Astyanax mexicanus: one gene and its partner. The protein of the gene in region 2 purifies or fractionates together with the protein of the main gene of each other region. This does not show direct contact. Links are inferred from orthologs where the notes say so. Each region holds a gene or a part of one and is shown on either strand. Other genes may lie near its edges.

Region 1 (7,702 bases), on a different chromosome or scaffold from region 2:
TTTAGAGCTTTTATAAATATTCACATACTGGCATTGACACTGGAAGATATATGTACATAAAAAATATAAGCTAACAACTGCCAGACTGATCCATCTCTAATCCTTATGTAGTATTTATATTTCCTTTCCTTCAGTGCACAACAGTTATGCTTTATATTGATATTGGCCTTCGTCATACTGATACTGCAGAAAGGCTGTAATAAAAACAAGCCCTTCCACTAAACAATAAACGAATCAGTAGTATTACTGATTATGTGGCTATTATAATTACTATTATCAATCTTTATTACTTCTTTATTGCTATAACTACTATTACTATGCATTTCAATGATTATTTCAGTACAACACCAGTAAGTGGTGTTAAGACTACGTTATACCATTATTAATTATTGTATAAGTGGCTTGGACCAAAAAAAAAAGGATAGAACCCCTTATGAGTCTTAGACCATCCCAGAGTAGTTAAGTTCCTTTAGCTTTGAATGAGTGTTATATCCAACATCAGTTAACAAAATGTGTGATACAAATAAATTTGACCTGACTAGAGATTAAACAAGCTTGGTGAGATTCATTGTTAATATGATGTTAGTAATATGCTTAACTTAAAGCAGCAGTCCTTACATATTGAGCTAGGAGTGGGCAATATTATATCGTATACAATATATCGTGACACAGAAATATCATGATATTAAAAATCCATATTGTGATAATAGGGCTGTTCTGTCTTAAAAGTATTCTATTATTTACTGTGAAACTTTAATGTCTTAATTGTATAATTGTTTTAGTTTGCAGTTTATATGCATGCACTAAATATTCTGCAATATTATTTGCTGCATTATATTATTTTATGCTATATTATTTATTTTGCCACATTATGATTATTCTGTTAAACTATTATACTATATTCCTGAAATGAATGAATTGTTTTAGTTTTCCTATATCGCCAAGTATATCGTTATCGCAAAAATACCCTGAAATATCGTGATATTATTTTAGAGCCATATCGCCCACCCCTATATTAAGCTTTAAGATTTATGGTATCAGTGTGCTGTTTTAACGAACCCTGTAATCTCTAATATATTATTAATCTAAAAACAGAGTGGTCTGGTAGGTTTTGGAAGGATTTGTGTATACTTATGTCACACATACAGCTTTTAAAGAAGATCCAGTATAATTTGCTGGTTACTTTTGCTGCAATTACACTTTCTCAATCCCCACATGCCCAAAACCTACAGACTGTTACTTTAAATTTCATTCATATTGATTAGACCTGATGAAACTGATCAGTGTTAAGTCTTTATGATAGGAGATACTTTAAGAGGCCTTAGACTAATGCTTCTTTGTGCAAGTGCCTCTCAAACCAGTCCTCATAATTTCCATGTTTGCTCAGTTCATGACATACATATATATAGACAGAGCAAAACTGTGGACCATCTGGATGGACCTGAGGACAAGTCTGAGTTGCCTGAACCCAAAACAAACATCTGATTTGAATCATTGCTTATGTACAATCTATCTACAATACCTTCAGAAAAACCTTCCTGTTCAGAGTAAAAAAACTACTAGTGCACCCTCTTCAACCTGCACCAACAACCCCACACCAGACCCTGTGCCGTGCCAACACACCTTTCTTGAACTCCTCCAACATGGAGTCCAACTTGGTGTCATGGAAAACAAAGTGGACCGGATGGTTGTAGAACTTGGTGATGGTCTTGAGGGTGGTGCAGTCGTCAGGATCCACGAAGGCCAGGTCTTTCACAAACAGGACATCCACAATGTTAGTCCTGTCATCCTCGAAGACGGGGATGCGAGTGTACCCGCTCTCCATGATCTCGGACATGGTGTTGAAGTCCAGCACAGCATCACTGTGGATCATGAAGCAGTTGCTGAGAGGGGTCATGACATCCTCTACTGTCTTAGTCCTGAGCTCCAGGGCTCCCTGGATCATGTTGAGCTCCTCTTTCACCAAATCATTGTACGGCTCGGTCACCTTCAGCATCTCCACCAGCTTCTCACGGTTGTAGACGGTGCCCATCTCCTGGCCCAGGACGCAGTCCAGCAGCTTGCTGACTGGGTAGGACATGGGGAAGGTCAACAGCATGAAGAACTTAGTGAGCAGGATGGTGTTGGCACCCACCGCCAAGCCGTGGCGAGAGCAGAGGGCTTGGGGCACAATCTCGCCGAAGATGACGATGCCAATGGTGGAGGCCACCACCGCGCCCACACCTGAGCCTATGAGGTCATCCAGGAGGATGGTGAGGGTGGTATTGACCAGGACGTTGCCTAGAAGGAGGGAGCAGAGCAGGTAGTTCCCTTCCCTGCGGATGGGCTCGATCTTGCGGGCATACTTTTTCTCCTTGTCGGTGCCACAGCTCTGCACAATGCGCAGCTCCATTGGGTCCAGTGCCATCAGGCCCAGGTTCAAGCCACTGAACATACCTGACAGCACCAGCAGGCCACAGATCAGAATCACCTGGAGCCACAGAGGCAGCAGTGACTTCTTCTCCTCCACCACACGCAGCTTGCCATCCTGCTCGCCCAGCAGATGCCACCTACCATCCCTCTGGCTCCTCGTGCACATGCCATAGTCCCTCTGCTTCTCGCTTTTACGCAGCAGCTTCACTTTTACGCGCAGCACCGCAGAGGTGCCCAGCTTACTCACGTTCATGCTGCCCCGCACGGTGATGTCTTTGGTGACATCGTCGCAGGTGCCGTTCAGCGCATCCTCACCTCCTCCACCTCCACCTCCACCTGCACCACCTCCACCTGCGTCCCCGCCCAGATCCACGAACCTCACCTGCGCCCGGGTGTCGTTGCTCAGGTGCAGCCCGTAGAAGCGAAGGGACACGCTGCTCTCCTCGGTCACCTGGATCACGCCGTCCTCGGTGGTCGTGAACGGCTTGTCGCTGCCCTCCAGCCGCACGCCCAGGATGCGGGGCTCTCCGCCCGCGTCCCCGGATCCCCCCGCGCCCGCTCCCCTCTCCGCTGCGCCCGCGCAGACCCCGCAAACCGCCAACACCACCATAGCCAGCGCGCTCCCCTTCCCGCACCATCCTGTCGCCATGTTTGTTGTCCACACGCGCACTGACACACGCGTGCGCACGCTCGCTCGCTCCCTCCTCGCTCTAGCTGCTAGGCGGGGGGCTGACGTCACCTCTACTCATTCCTCTGCACTGAACGACTCGCCCCTACATTAGCATGCAGCCAATAAGAGCAAGGGACACGCCTAGTTCATTTTAATACAGCCAATGAGAAACTGAGGTGGGATTCTCATGGCCGAACACGAATCAGATTGCGATTTCGAGAGACGGCCCCTGCCTCCAGCTTTTGAAGAAAGTTTTTTAAGGGCGACTGGGAGTAATTATTTTTGTTTTAAGGTGGACTGGAACAGATACTTTTGTCTACCGCTCATTTAGCGTTTATTTATTGCAGAAACTTTATAACATTCGCACTAATTATGGTATTTATGGTTATCTTATGTAGTTCAAATACGTGTTTTTTAGGTATGTAATATATAAAGATATTTAAATATTTATAAATACGTTAATATTTAATTAATATAAACTTTAACTGCAAATTCAGATACTCATCCATATTCAACTCGGCAATTTTAAACATGAATTTTCAATGTTCAATATTAATATTGCATATACAGCTCTGGAAAAAAAATAAGAGACCACTTTAAAATTATGTGTTTCTTTGATTTGACCAAATTGAAAACTCCTGGAATATAATCAAGAGGAAGATGGATGATCACGAGTCATCAAACCAAACTGAACTGCTTGAATTTTTGCACCAGGAGTCGCATAAAGTCATCCAAAAGCAGTGTGTAAGACTGGTGGAGGAGAACATGATGCCAAGATGCATGAAAACTGTGATTAAAAATCAGCGTTATTCCACCAAATATTGATTTCTGAACTTTTAAAACTTTATGAGTATAAACTTGTTTTCTTTGCATTAATTGAGGTCTGAAAGCTCTGCATTTTGTTGTTGTTATTTCAACCATTTCTCATTTGAAAAAAGATGTTGCATATTCATTATAACAGACAGCTCTTCATTTTTACTACACACCACATTAATTTAATAGTATTGGTGCCCTCTAGTGGTGCAGGGAGAGCTTTTCCATTGTAAACCTATACTAAAGACATGCAGACTATGAGAGGAGCCGCTCGCTGCAGCCTGTAGGAAGGCGGAGTTGGACATCCAACCCCGCCCACATCCAACTCCGCCCATGTCCAACTCCGCCTTACGTCTAAAGCAACACCCACCTTACGTCCGTCACGAACGCCTACATTTACTCCCGGTAAACAGGAATTGTAGCCGAGAAAGCAGCTAAAGCATCTATCTGATTTATATCTCCGGTTATGGCGATAAGTACAAATATTGAGTTATTTTTTAAGTTAACAGAGCTATTTTTATAATGTCCTCTTGTTTTTCTATATTATATTTTATGAATAAACGGTGAGTCGTTGATACGCACATGAAGGTTCTACATCGGCGCGTGTACCATGTGGTTTGTTTGCTTCTAGCTAGTCATATTGCCGTTTTTTTTTGATGGATTCTAATGCAGAATTGCACCCAGTCTTGTCTAATTCAAACTTTAGTTATCTTACCTTCTGTTTTATGGGCTAAAATGCTACCAATTAATGGTATCACAGATAAACTCTCATAGCTAGTAGTGAGCTAGGCATCAGTTTTGTTTTTAAGGCATAGCTAGGGGTTATAGTCAGCTAACCTAAAAAACTGTTTAAACTGTCTATACAAGAAGTTAATTGGCTAACAAGATAGCAAGATAATCTAACTAACTCAAATTGGTTCAAAGTCTTAGTCATACAAATAAATATTTGAAGATATCAATGCTTAATCCTCCTATTTAATTTGTCAGGAATAGCAATGGTATTCCCGGGTTAATTTGACCTGGTTCATTTTTAATTATCCAAAATATTTCTGAAACCAAAATAATCCTAACCAGAAGAGTAAATATTTAATAACTAACTCCATTGCTGATTGTTGTATCAACATTTAGTACAATAGTGTACAATAGAGGTAATAGTTCAATTAGGATAATTCACTTGTTTTTACATTTTAAAAAATCTTACTTTTTTTTTGTTTTACTACTTTGTTACTTTTAAACAACCAACACAATATTTTTACATATAAATGAAACATAACATTACAATTTCGTTTTAGTTTTAGTTTTTGCAGGGGGTTGTTGCAAATATGAAATTAACCATTTTCATGTTATATGTTAATTATACAAATAAAGGCAAGCTGAAGACGTTTCATACAGAAAAAATACTTTTACTATCTTACTAAATGGATCAATTTGACCCGTAACGTAACAGGAGGGTTAAGTCGATGCACATTTATTACCTTTGTACTGAATGTAGTTACAATTAATGTGCACCGATATAGTAATTGTAAGCTCATGTTGTGTTTTGTTGCTTTCTGTTTTACAGCATCCAACACATGTCCAGGCCACTCCTGACCCTTCACGGTTTGGCCAGTGTGGTGTTTTCAAATGCCCCTGCTTCAGTTTTGACACTGACCAGCGATTTAATAACAGCCTACATCTACAAAACCATATCAAACAAGCAGTCGAGAATAACGGTATGGGGAAGTATTTCTTTAAACAGAGAGAGAGATATTGATTTTATTGGCTATAACAAATAAACATGTAAATGTAATATCTTGAATCAACAAATGCACTTACATCTTACACTCAATTGATGGGCATAATGAGTTGAAGAATATTAATATTTATAGGCTTAATTGCATGTTGTGTGCATTTTGGTCTTACAGTTTCCTTCATCTCTAAACTGCACACCTACAGCACACTTTTGTGTCTATTGCAGCCATACAATACTATGCAAAGACCAGTTCAGACATCATGTATCTCTGTGCAGCAGTGCAACCAAGACCATTATAGCAGAAGTGTTTAATCCACAGACTGTTGCTACTTCTGATGCACGTCCAGCTCCCCCTCTGCCAGCTACTCCTGATACACCTTCTCCCAGTTCTGGTCTTGCTTCCTCTGTGCATGGTATTAATTATATTAATTATTATATTTTCTCTCAGGAAAGTTCAGCGTGTTGAACGTGTGACTGATGAAGGAGATAGAATGGGCAACGTCTCCTTTGAACAGGTGTAAGGGTGTGGATGTGTGTTTTTTATTTCGGGTTAATTTAACTGGGCCATTTAAAATGTTTTACTGTTGTGGTTTGTTTTCAAAAGTCTGAATTGGGCTGAAAAGATAAGTTGACATTATTTGAAATTTCAACTTGACCTAGTGTTGACTAGTCATTTCAAGGGCATTTGAAGCCCATAAGCTATTGGAGAGCTATCATTTTAAAGGGATAGAAAAGCAGAGAGCTGTTTTGTTACGTTAAGGCAGAGATTAGTCAACAGAATGACGCTGACTACAGTCTTCAGGCAAAAATGCTAGCCATTCCTACAGTAATCAGAGATTGGGGATATGATTGAAATAATAAGTGCCAACTCAGATTAATAGAATACCAAAATAGTAATTGGTTGCAGCCTTAGAATGTTATCTGGTCATTTTTTTCAATTACTATAATTTTCATGAATCAAAATCTACATGCTTCTATAATGTTTTTCACAGATGCCCCTTATTCTCATAGATACAGTTCTGGAAGAGGGTGACAAAGCTTTTTTAAAGCTGTCACTGGTTTGTCGTCTCTTCCGGGACATTGTTTGGACAACAATCATTCCGGGCCCGGGCACATTTCGAGTGGCTTGACAGTAAGCATGATATTTCAGTACAGTTAAGATGTTTGTTTTCCCTTAGAAAAGGAATTACACTCATTGATTTTGAAATCATTTTAAAATTCTTGATTTTTTTAAACCTACAGGTGTAGTGCCATGAAAACATCACAGTGCTGCATGTAAAGACGAGTTTCGCAGGATGTACGAACTGCAGTGCTGCCAGAACTGTCAAGAAACTTATAAAGACTACATACTGGGTATGTTTGTTCTAAATAAATTTTGATAATTTTTTCCTGAGGTCAGAAATTGGTAAGTCAATATATTTAAGGTATTGGGGCTTGAGAGATTGTTACTTTGTGAAAGTGTGTGCTTTTACTTATATTACAGGCTACGTTGGGCATGGGAGACGAGGGGAGCTTGTGGCATTTTACAGCGAAAACGAGCACCCTGGATTCTGCAGCCAGCTTCATGAGTGGCTGGGTGTGTGAGTGGCTGGGTGTGTGAGTGGCTGGGTGTGTGAGTGGCTGGGTGTGTGAGTGGCTGGGTGTGTGAGTGGCTGGGTGTTGCATTTTTAAATAAAGACTTCTGTATTTGTTTGACCAAAGCATGTAACCAAACATTTTAAAGGCTAGTGTGCCAATAAATGCCAATAAAGATATTGTATTAGCTTGGACAAAGTGTTTGTAAATGGAGTTAATTTCCCTGGGAACTACTGTCAGCCATACAAAAATTGGGAGAGGAGAAGCAGGAGAGGGATATCATTATTATTATTATTATTATTATTATTATTATTATTATTATTATTATTATTGACAAAATAGCTATGCATACATATGATATTTTAATTTCTGAATCCACAGCATTTGATATATTGTACTCTATCGTTATACACTATCCAGCATACCATTATTACCACCTGCTTGTTTCTGCTTCTATTATTCTTTTTTTTAGCTCCAATTAGCATCTAGGACACTTTAGT
Region 2 (7,364 bases):
AAGCAGGTAAACAATAGGGCTGCAATAATTAGTTAACATAATCCACAATGTTGATCATATAAAATTGCTAGTGGGAGACGGGAATTTGCCGCACTCACAAAGTTTACACTCAACTTGGTCTGTCTCTCCAAAAGTGCCCAAACACAACAGAAAACATATTTACTTACTAAATATCAGTACTTTACACATTTAAAGTAGAGATTCACAATGATATCGGAATTATAACGGTATAAAACAGTAGTTGCTGTTTGATAAGCGATAAAAGAAAAGGACCAAGCGACACTGACCGCACTTATATGAATGGCAGCTACTATCTGTGCTACTTTAATTCATAAGAGCCGAGACCCATTTCTAAATATTGATACCAAAATCTAATTCAGAGAGCAGCTCATGTTTTTTTCTTACTGTGAAAAAATGACTGTAAATATTTGAGGGTTATAGTCTATATAGATGTAACAAGTGAATATAATTTCATAATCTGGATTTTAACGTTTTGTTCTAGAAATCATGCCACAACCAATTATATGGAATGGAATGCAATGTACATTTAGTTAAATCGTTGATTGGAAAAGAGCTGTAGAAAAATATAATTTTTAAAGAAGATACTTTTATCTCACGTATCTTACGTACATCCTGCTAATAAGGTCAAATAAATGAACAAACATTCATATACTGTCCTTTGACAAAGTCAGGTCATACAGTATGTCACTTGAGGACTTCATGATTTAAAGTCAAGGACAAAGGAACAAACTTTTCACAACTTTTAAAGTTATGTCACCATAGGCACTTTTGCGTTAAAGGTAATTTTTTATTATTTTTATTAGATTATTTAAATTTATTGTTAAAAAATATTGTTTAAAGCTGTGATTGGTTAATGTAAGATGTTAGCTGAATAAACATTTAATGGCAAAATATATATACACACACACATATATATATATTATATTTATAACTTACACATTTATAGACTACACACCCTGGTTCAGAAATTCAGAAACAAATGTAACATTTGCTTTATATTTTACCTCTCAAGGAACTGTATGCAAACAATAAAATGAGCGGTGTCTCCTGAGATATATATATATATATATATATATATATATATATATATATATATATATATATACACACACACACACACATATACATATATATATATATATATATATATATATATATATATATATATATATATATATAAAATCTAATCTATCTAATCTAAAAAAATTATAATCATGTTAGTTGCCTACTGAAATAATCAGTAGTTGCAGCCATAGATAATAAGTACAGTGGTAGTAGCACAGGTACATCATTATGCTGGTATCCCTGCTGATGCCCATCACAGAGACTCTGCAGTGGAGCAGAGCTTTATTTTATACTCATAAAACAATGTAACACAACCCAAGGTTGATTTATTTACATTTAAAGAGAGAAGGTTAACCCTACTGACTGAAACTTGACTGATTTTATTTGGATTTTACTTTCCTTATTATTTATAAGGAGATGCTGGGCTAGCTGAAGAGTTTCTGTATTTCACTAAACTAACTAGCTTATGGGCAGAGACAATAAACTAGCTTATTAACCTACCTGTGAGCTAAGATACCTAACTACTAGATTAGCTAACGTTAATTGAATTAGACAGAGACCAGAGCTCAGTTTAGCTAAGCTTCCCCACAAAGAAAGCGGCGCACACATATAGAAGCCGTGAAAAGAATGTGCTAGCCTAGCCAACCAGGTGTTCTGTCGAGTTGTGCTCCTCGTCAAATCGTGCTTCCCCAGTGTGTTTTAAAGGTAAAATTGGCAACGAAAAAAGAAGCACGCTCCCAACAGACATCTTGATAACATATTTAAGGACTTTGATGAGTTAGAATCGTGGATAGAGTGCTGTACGCAACTTTCCACATTTTTTCACATCTTTTAAATGGTCTGTGACACGTAACTACATCACCATAAGCTTTTTTGTTGGCTCGTAAGAAAAATTTAAGGCGCATGCGCAGTACTGTTAAGACGCACATATTGATGTGTAACACAATTCAACATAACACCGGCTGTGCAACTACGACCCACCTAACGCTAGCTAAATATGTTATATATGCGGCAAATGGCTAGGCTAAGTTAGAATGATATGCTAGTTAGCTTTAGCTTGAAATAGCTAGCTAGCTAACAACCTGTCGGGCCTCCTGCTGTTGTTATCCTAGTTAGCTAGCTAACGTTAACTAATCTTCTTAAAATACTTTATTTAGTATTTTATAAGAAATCTTTATTTATTAATATTTATTTTCGATTTTTTGTAAACCAGAATAAATTAATGGTATCCACAGAATAACGACGAAACCCGTCGTTTTAAGGTTAGCTAACGCTAGCTAGCTAACTTGCTTGCTGGCTAAAGCACAAAGCTCGCTTGACTGTTAAGTTAACTGTTAAATTAATTAAACTACAATTCCATGGTTTTAAAAAAGAACATATAGACTCATTAACTAATAAAAATTAGGTCACTGTGATTTAGAAGGACGTATCCAGCTATAATCCAGGTTAAAACAGATTATGAAGGACTAATGTCTATTTTAAAGATGGGAATTTTAATCCAGAAAGTACCACACGTAAAAATCCGCACCGGGATTTTGTTCCAACCGTCAGGGCGGCTCTGCTGCAGAACAGCTGCAGCATTGCCGCACTGGCGGCTGTAACAAAATCCAGGACTGGATTAATAAACTTTAGGATCCAGACTACCCGCCTCTACATCCAGCGCTACCAGGCTAAAACAATGACCTCGATTCGACAACAATCTCGCCAAACCCCATAAAGACAATCTTAAAACAGAGCCACGCGCGTATAAAACAAAAGCCCCGCTTTAAATATGAGATTTGTGTACTTACTGGAATATGTTTACTCATTGAAGATTGTAGTTTAACCATAAAGCCGGTCCCGAGAAAGCGGTGAAATCTCTGAATTGTTTTTTACCATACAGCCGCAGCGCGCGCCCTGTCTCATCCGCGACTCCGTCTCTGCCTCAACCGGTTCCAGCCTGCCTGCCTGGCGCGCGCTCGCTCGCTCGCTCGCTCTCCACACAGTAACCGCGCCCTGGATCATCAGCAGGAGGAGGAGGGGGGACGGGTCTCTCAGAACCGGGTCAGCCCGCCGCTGCTGTTGTTCTCTCCCTCCCCGCGCGGTGATGCCATATCAGACCAGGTCGGTGTAACGTTTAGCAGTTTAATTTTCTGACTGTATCAAAGCTAAATTTCAAATGAAGAAGAAATGGGTTTTGGTCAGTGTAACTTTAATTAATTACATTTTCTGACTGTTTGAGGTTAAATTCAAAAATAGAACACTGGATGTAAAAACTTATGATTTCCTTTTTTAAAGTAGTGCAATGTACAAGAAATAAGTTTTCTTCCTTTTTATTTTTTTATCTTGCATTTTGCAAGTTGGATTATACCATCAGATTTGTGTAACGAGATACAAAAATGGACAAATAAAAAAAAGAGAGAACATTCAACTCTTCAGTTTTCTTTAAATTCTGTTTGTGAAAGGCTGAAATTAAATACTCGACAATTAAAAAAATTATGAAAACACATTTGTTCTTCATTTCAAATTTAGCTTGATACAGTCAAAAATTAAACTACAAAACGTTACACTGACTGGTTTTCATCCAGTTTTTTAATTATCAAGTTTTTCATTTCAGCCTTTCGCAAACAAAAATGAAAAGTTGAATGATCTCTCAATTTTCAGATTTGTCCACTTTTTTGTTTGTTTTTTTTGCCGCTGTAATTTTTAAACGTAGCTAAAAAAAACACACCCCGCCACCCCTGAATTTTCACCCACAACCGGATTTTCAAACAAGCCCAATTTGGAGGGAAAACCGTGAACTCTGCAGACATCTCAAGTTGCGAAAATAAATTTCAGGGAGATACCCCCGGACTTAGCTTAAAAATCGCTATTACAAACTGTACAGTGGGCAAGACTTTCATTGTTTTTTACTTTTACCAGACATGGATATACTTTAGAGTAGTCAGAGGTGAAATGAGTTTAGATGGGAGCCATGATGCTCCTTCTTTTACTCACTAAGTGCATCCCGTCCAGAAGGGGAAAGAAACACAGCCCACTCACAATAAATATTAATGGGCTGACTCACAGACTCTTTGTAGAGAACAGGCCAGTCAGAACCCTCTCTGTTTTGCATGCACTTTATGAATATGTAGATGAGGGCAGCACCTTACTCTCCTGCTCTCTTTCTTTCCCACACTCGAGTCTATGGCAGGGCACGATTTCTGCAAAGCAACGGATGCAACACTCCTGTGAACAGTTCTGCATTACGTTCATTGGTTACACAAGTCTCCTGAAGACTGCCTGTGTACCGTGTATTCCTGCATGCGTTTACACAAACCTTTAATGGCTAATTCTGAATGAGACTGACACTGGTAAGAATAGAGCTGGTGAGATCTCTTTATGTGAGAGTAATTTGGCGCCAAAAACTTTATGAACATGTTTTGTACTGCCCATAGACCTATTATAACTTAATATATAATATTAATATATAATATAATAATATTTCCCCTTCAAACTTTGAGCATATGAGCATTCAGCATTTAAACTTTGGGTGAGTAATGGTTTAAAGCAGATGAAGTGTTTAAGGAAGGCATATTTATGTTTTTTTAAGCAATAAGGGTGAGAGCATGACATGCCTCGATCACTCTTCATGGTTTTGCTAGATGGAATTTTGCCTCTTTTCATCACTCCCACATAAAATATAGTGATTTATTAAATTAAAGTCTCTGAAAATATTTTTTTTACACATAAGCTGCATTTACAATATGGGAATATTATGCATATGAAGCCTGTATTATAGATAATGGAGAATATTTGTGGTGAATATTGTTTTTTTCTTCTCTTTGTTTTAAAAAACATCTTTCTAGAAATTGGTCGGGCTGTGTTTAGAGGTCTGTGTAAAAAAGCTGATCTCAGCATAGTTTTCAATGGTGCTATCCTGTACAATAGACCAGTGAACAGCCTGGGCCGCTCTCAGCATCAGCCAATCAGAGGAGGAGTGTGTTTCAGTCACAGGTTGTTAGTTGTGTAAACCATTTTACTGTGGGTGCACTGGGAGGAACTGGGGGTGGGGGGGCAGAGGGAATGTTCCAAATGGTCAGCATTGTACCGGCGGCCTATAAATGATGTGCTTGGCCATAGCTCTTGTTTCAACTTGGAGCTCACAAAATCTGAAACCACCGGCTCAAAGAAACTGGAGACACGATGCAAAAATCAGATGGACCGAAAGAGAAAGTACAGTCTTCAGATTTCTCTACAAAAATATCAAATGTATAACATATATATTTTGAGTGTTTGTAATCCATTATGTATAAAAAAGGGGAATGTCATCTTGGTGCGACTCTCAGAATTGGATTTGCTCGTTTATAACTATGAATATTTTTTGTTTATGTTTATATATAGGAAATGGCATCTACAGATTCAGACCAAGTGGACGGAGGGAACATGAGCCACAGCAGTAAGAAGGGGGTAAAGGTTAGCGGTAAACATGTAGCTTCTTCAGACTGGGACAGAAGGGGGACTCCTGTGCCCATCGTCCAGACAAATTTTTACACTCCAAGTCCTGCTGAAAACCCCACAGTCATTTCTATTGGCCCACACTGTCAGCCCACTGTCACCAGCGAGCCCCAGAACCAGGATTTCACCAGTAATGATGACTGGGGTGGAGAAGACCTCCGGGGACATCCACCCTTCACAGAACAAGGTGTATCTAGACAGACAGTGGAAGAACTGAAGAATATATTACGTGAGAGCTCCATGCTGAGGGACGACGGCCGCCCGGTCAGTCCCCACAGCCACACGCCTGGACAGAGGGTGGACTGCAGACCAGACGACATACCATCCAAGTCCTTTACAACCTTCAAACCAATTCTTGCAGGGAGCAGAAGAGCCTCGAGACCAAGAGATGGTGCTTCTTCTGGCTGGGATTCTAGTGGGTCATCCAGGACCGACGGTCATACAAGCAGGACAACTGGTTACAGGACACCCTCCAGTGATAGAGCCCACTCCTCCGACACGTGGTCATCACAGACAGGTGAGTGTGCCTCTACTGTTCCTCTACTGATGGAGAAATCTGAAAGATTTTGGTGTCCCTCTTATTTATTTTTAATGATGTTTATTTTTATGCGTTCTACAGATAACAGGGACAGTTCTCATACAGAATCTCACGGATCTCAGAATTTCCTTTACGAGCTTGATCTGATTAAGCAGCAGATTTCTCGAGAGAATGTTGGCTTTGTTCGCTTTGAAGCAACAGATCTTCACGGTGTGTCCAGATCCAAGATGGTCCCCGCTCGCTACTTTCATGTAAATATCTCCTGCTTAATTGCTAAATGTAGGGTGACTGAATCAAATGTGCATTAATGAAAGAAACTTATGCTTAGATTTATTTTTGAAATATTTATGATATACAGTGCTATGAGTATTTGCTACGTTAACGTCAGTGTTAATGATTCAATAATAAAAAAGAGAGACTGCAAAAATGGTATCCGTGGAAAAGTTCCAAGGCAAAAACCACTGCTGACCAAAAAAAAAAACATGAAGGCCCATCTCAAATCTTGATGATCCCCAGGACTTATACTGTGAATTTTCGACAAAAAAGTGGAACTTCTTGGAAGGTATTTCCCCTGTTACATCTGGTGTAAAATTATCACATAATTTAGGGAAAAGATCTTTATAATGAAGGTCAAACATGGTGGTGGTAGCATGATGGTCTAGGGCTTCTTTGCTGCTACACAACCTGGATTTGCTGTAATTGAACCATATTTTCTGCTCTTTACCAAAAGTTCAGTCATACCTGCAAGTCCACCTCTAAATGGCTCAAAAAACCTAAGTGAAGGTTTTGGTTGTCAAAGTCTGATTGAGAAGCTGTGGCAGGATCTTAAACAGGCCTTTCTTGCGCAAAACCCCCCAATGTGGCTGAATGAAAACAATTCTGCAAAGAAGAGTGGGCTAAAAAGACTTATTGCCAGTTATTTAAAACGCTTGATTACAGTTGTTTCAGCCAAGGGTGGCTCAACCAATTTATTAGGTTTTGGGGCAAATCATTTTCCACACAGGGCCAGGTTGGTTAAATAGAATTGAATAGAATTCTTCGTAAATTCAATTATCATTTAAAAACTGCTTTTTATATATACTCAGGTTATCTTTGTCTAATAATAAATGTATTTGTTAATCTGAAAAATATAAGTATGATAAAAATCTAAAAAGAAATCTGTAGGGTGCAAATAATTTTTCACAGCACTGTAAATAACTTCACAACTTTAGGATGCTTTTGCATGTTGATAATTCTGTTATTTGTATTACAGGAAAAAGCTGTG

What was found. The genes of interacting proteins can lie anywhere in the genome.
Region 1: the proteins of ptp4a1 (region 2) and metal transporter CNNM4 purify together in Homo sapiens (affinity purification with mass spectrometry; 6 studies listed by BioGRID and IntAct, with this or other methods). This does not show direct contact. The link is inferred for Astyanax mexicanus from reciprocal best matches to the Homo sapiens genes PTP4A1 and CNNM4.

What each region holds. Positions count from the first base shown.
Region 1 is NC_064429.1:30,753,314-30,761,015, forward strand, and holds the start of metal transporter CNNM4, read right to left. Parts: upstream 3,101-7,702; 5' UTR 3,062-3,100; coding exon 1,624-3,061; intron 1-1,623. UniProt on the Homo sapiens protein: Probable metal transporter. The interaction with the metal ion chaperone COX11 suggests that it may play a role in sensory neuron functions. May play a role in biomineralization and retinal function.
Region 2 is NC_064423.1:12,467,193-12,474,556, forward strand, and holds the start of ptp4a1 (protein tyrosine phosphatase type IVA 1), read right to left. Parts: upstream 3,050-7,364; 5' UTR 2,877-3,049; intron 1-2,876. Other genes in the region: lgsn (lengsin), read left to right, coding at 5,251-5,280, 5,449-6,079, 6,182-6,351, 7,353-7,364. UniProt on the Homo sapiens protein: Protein tyrosine phosphatase which stimulates progression from G1 into S phase during mitosis. May play a role in the development and maintenance of differentiating epithelial tissues.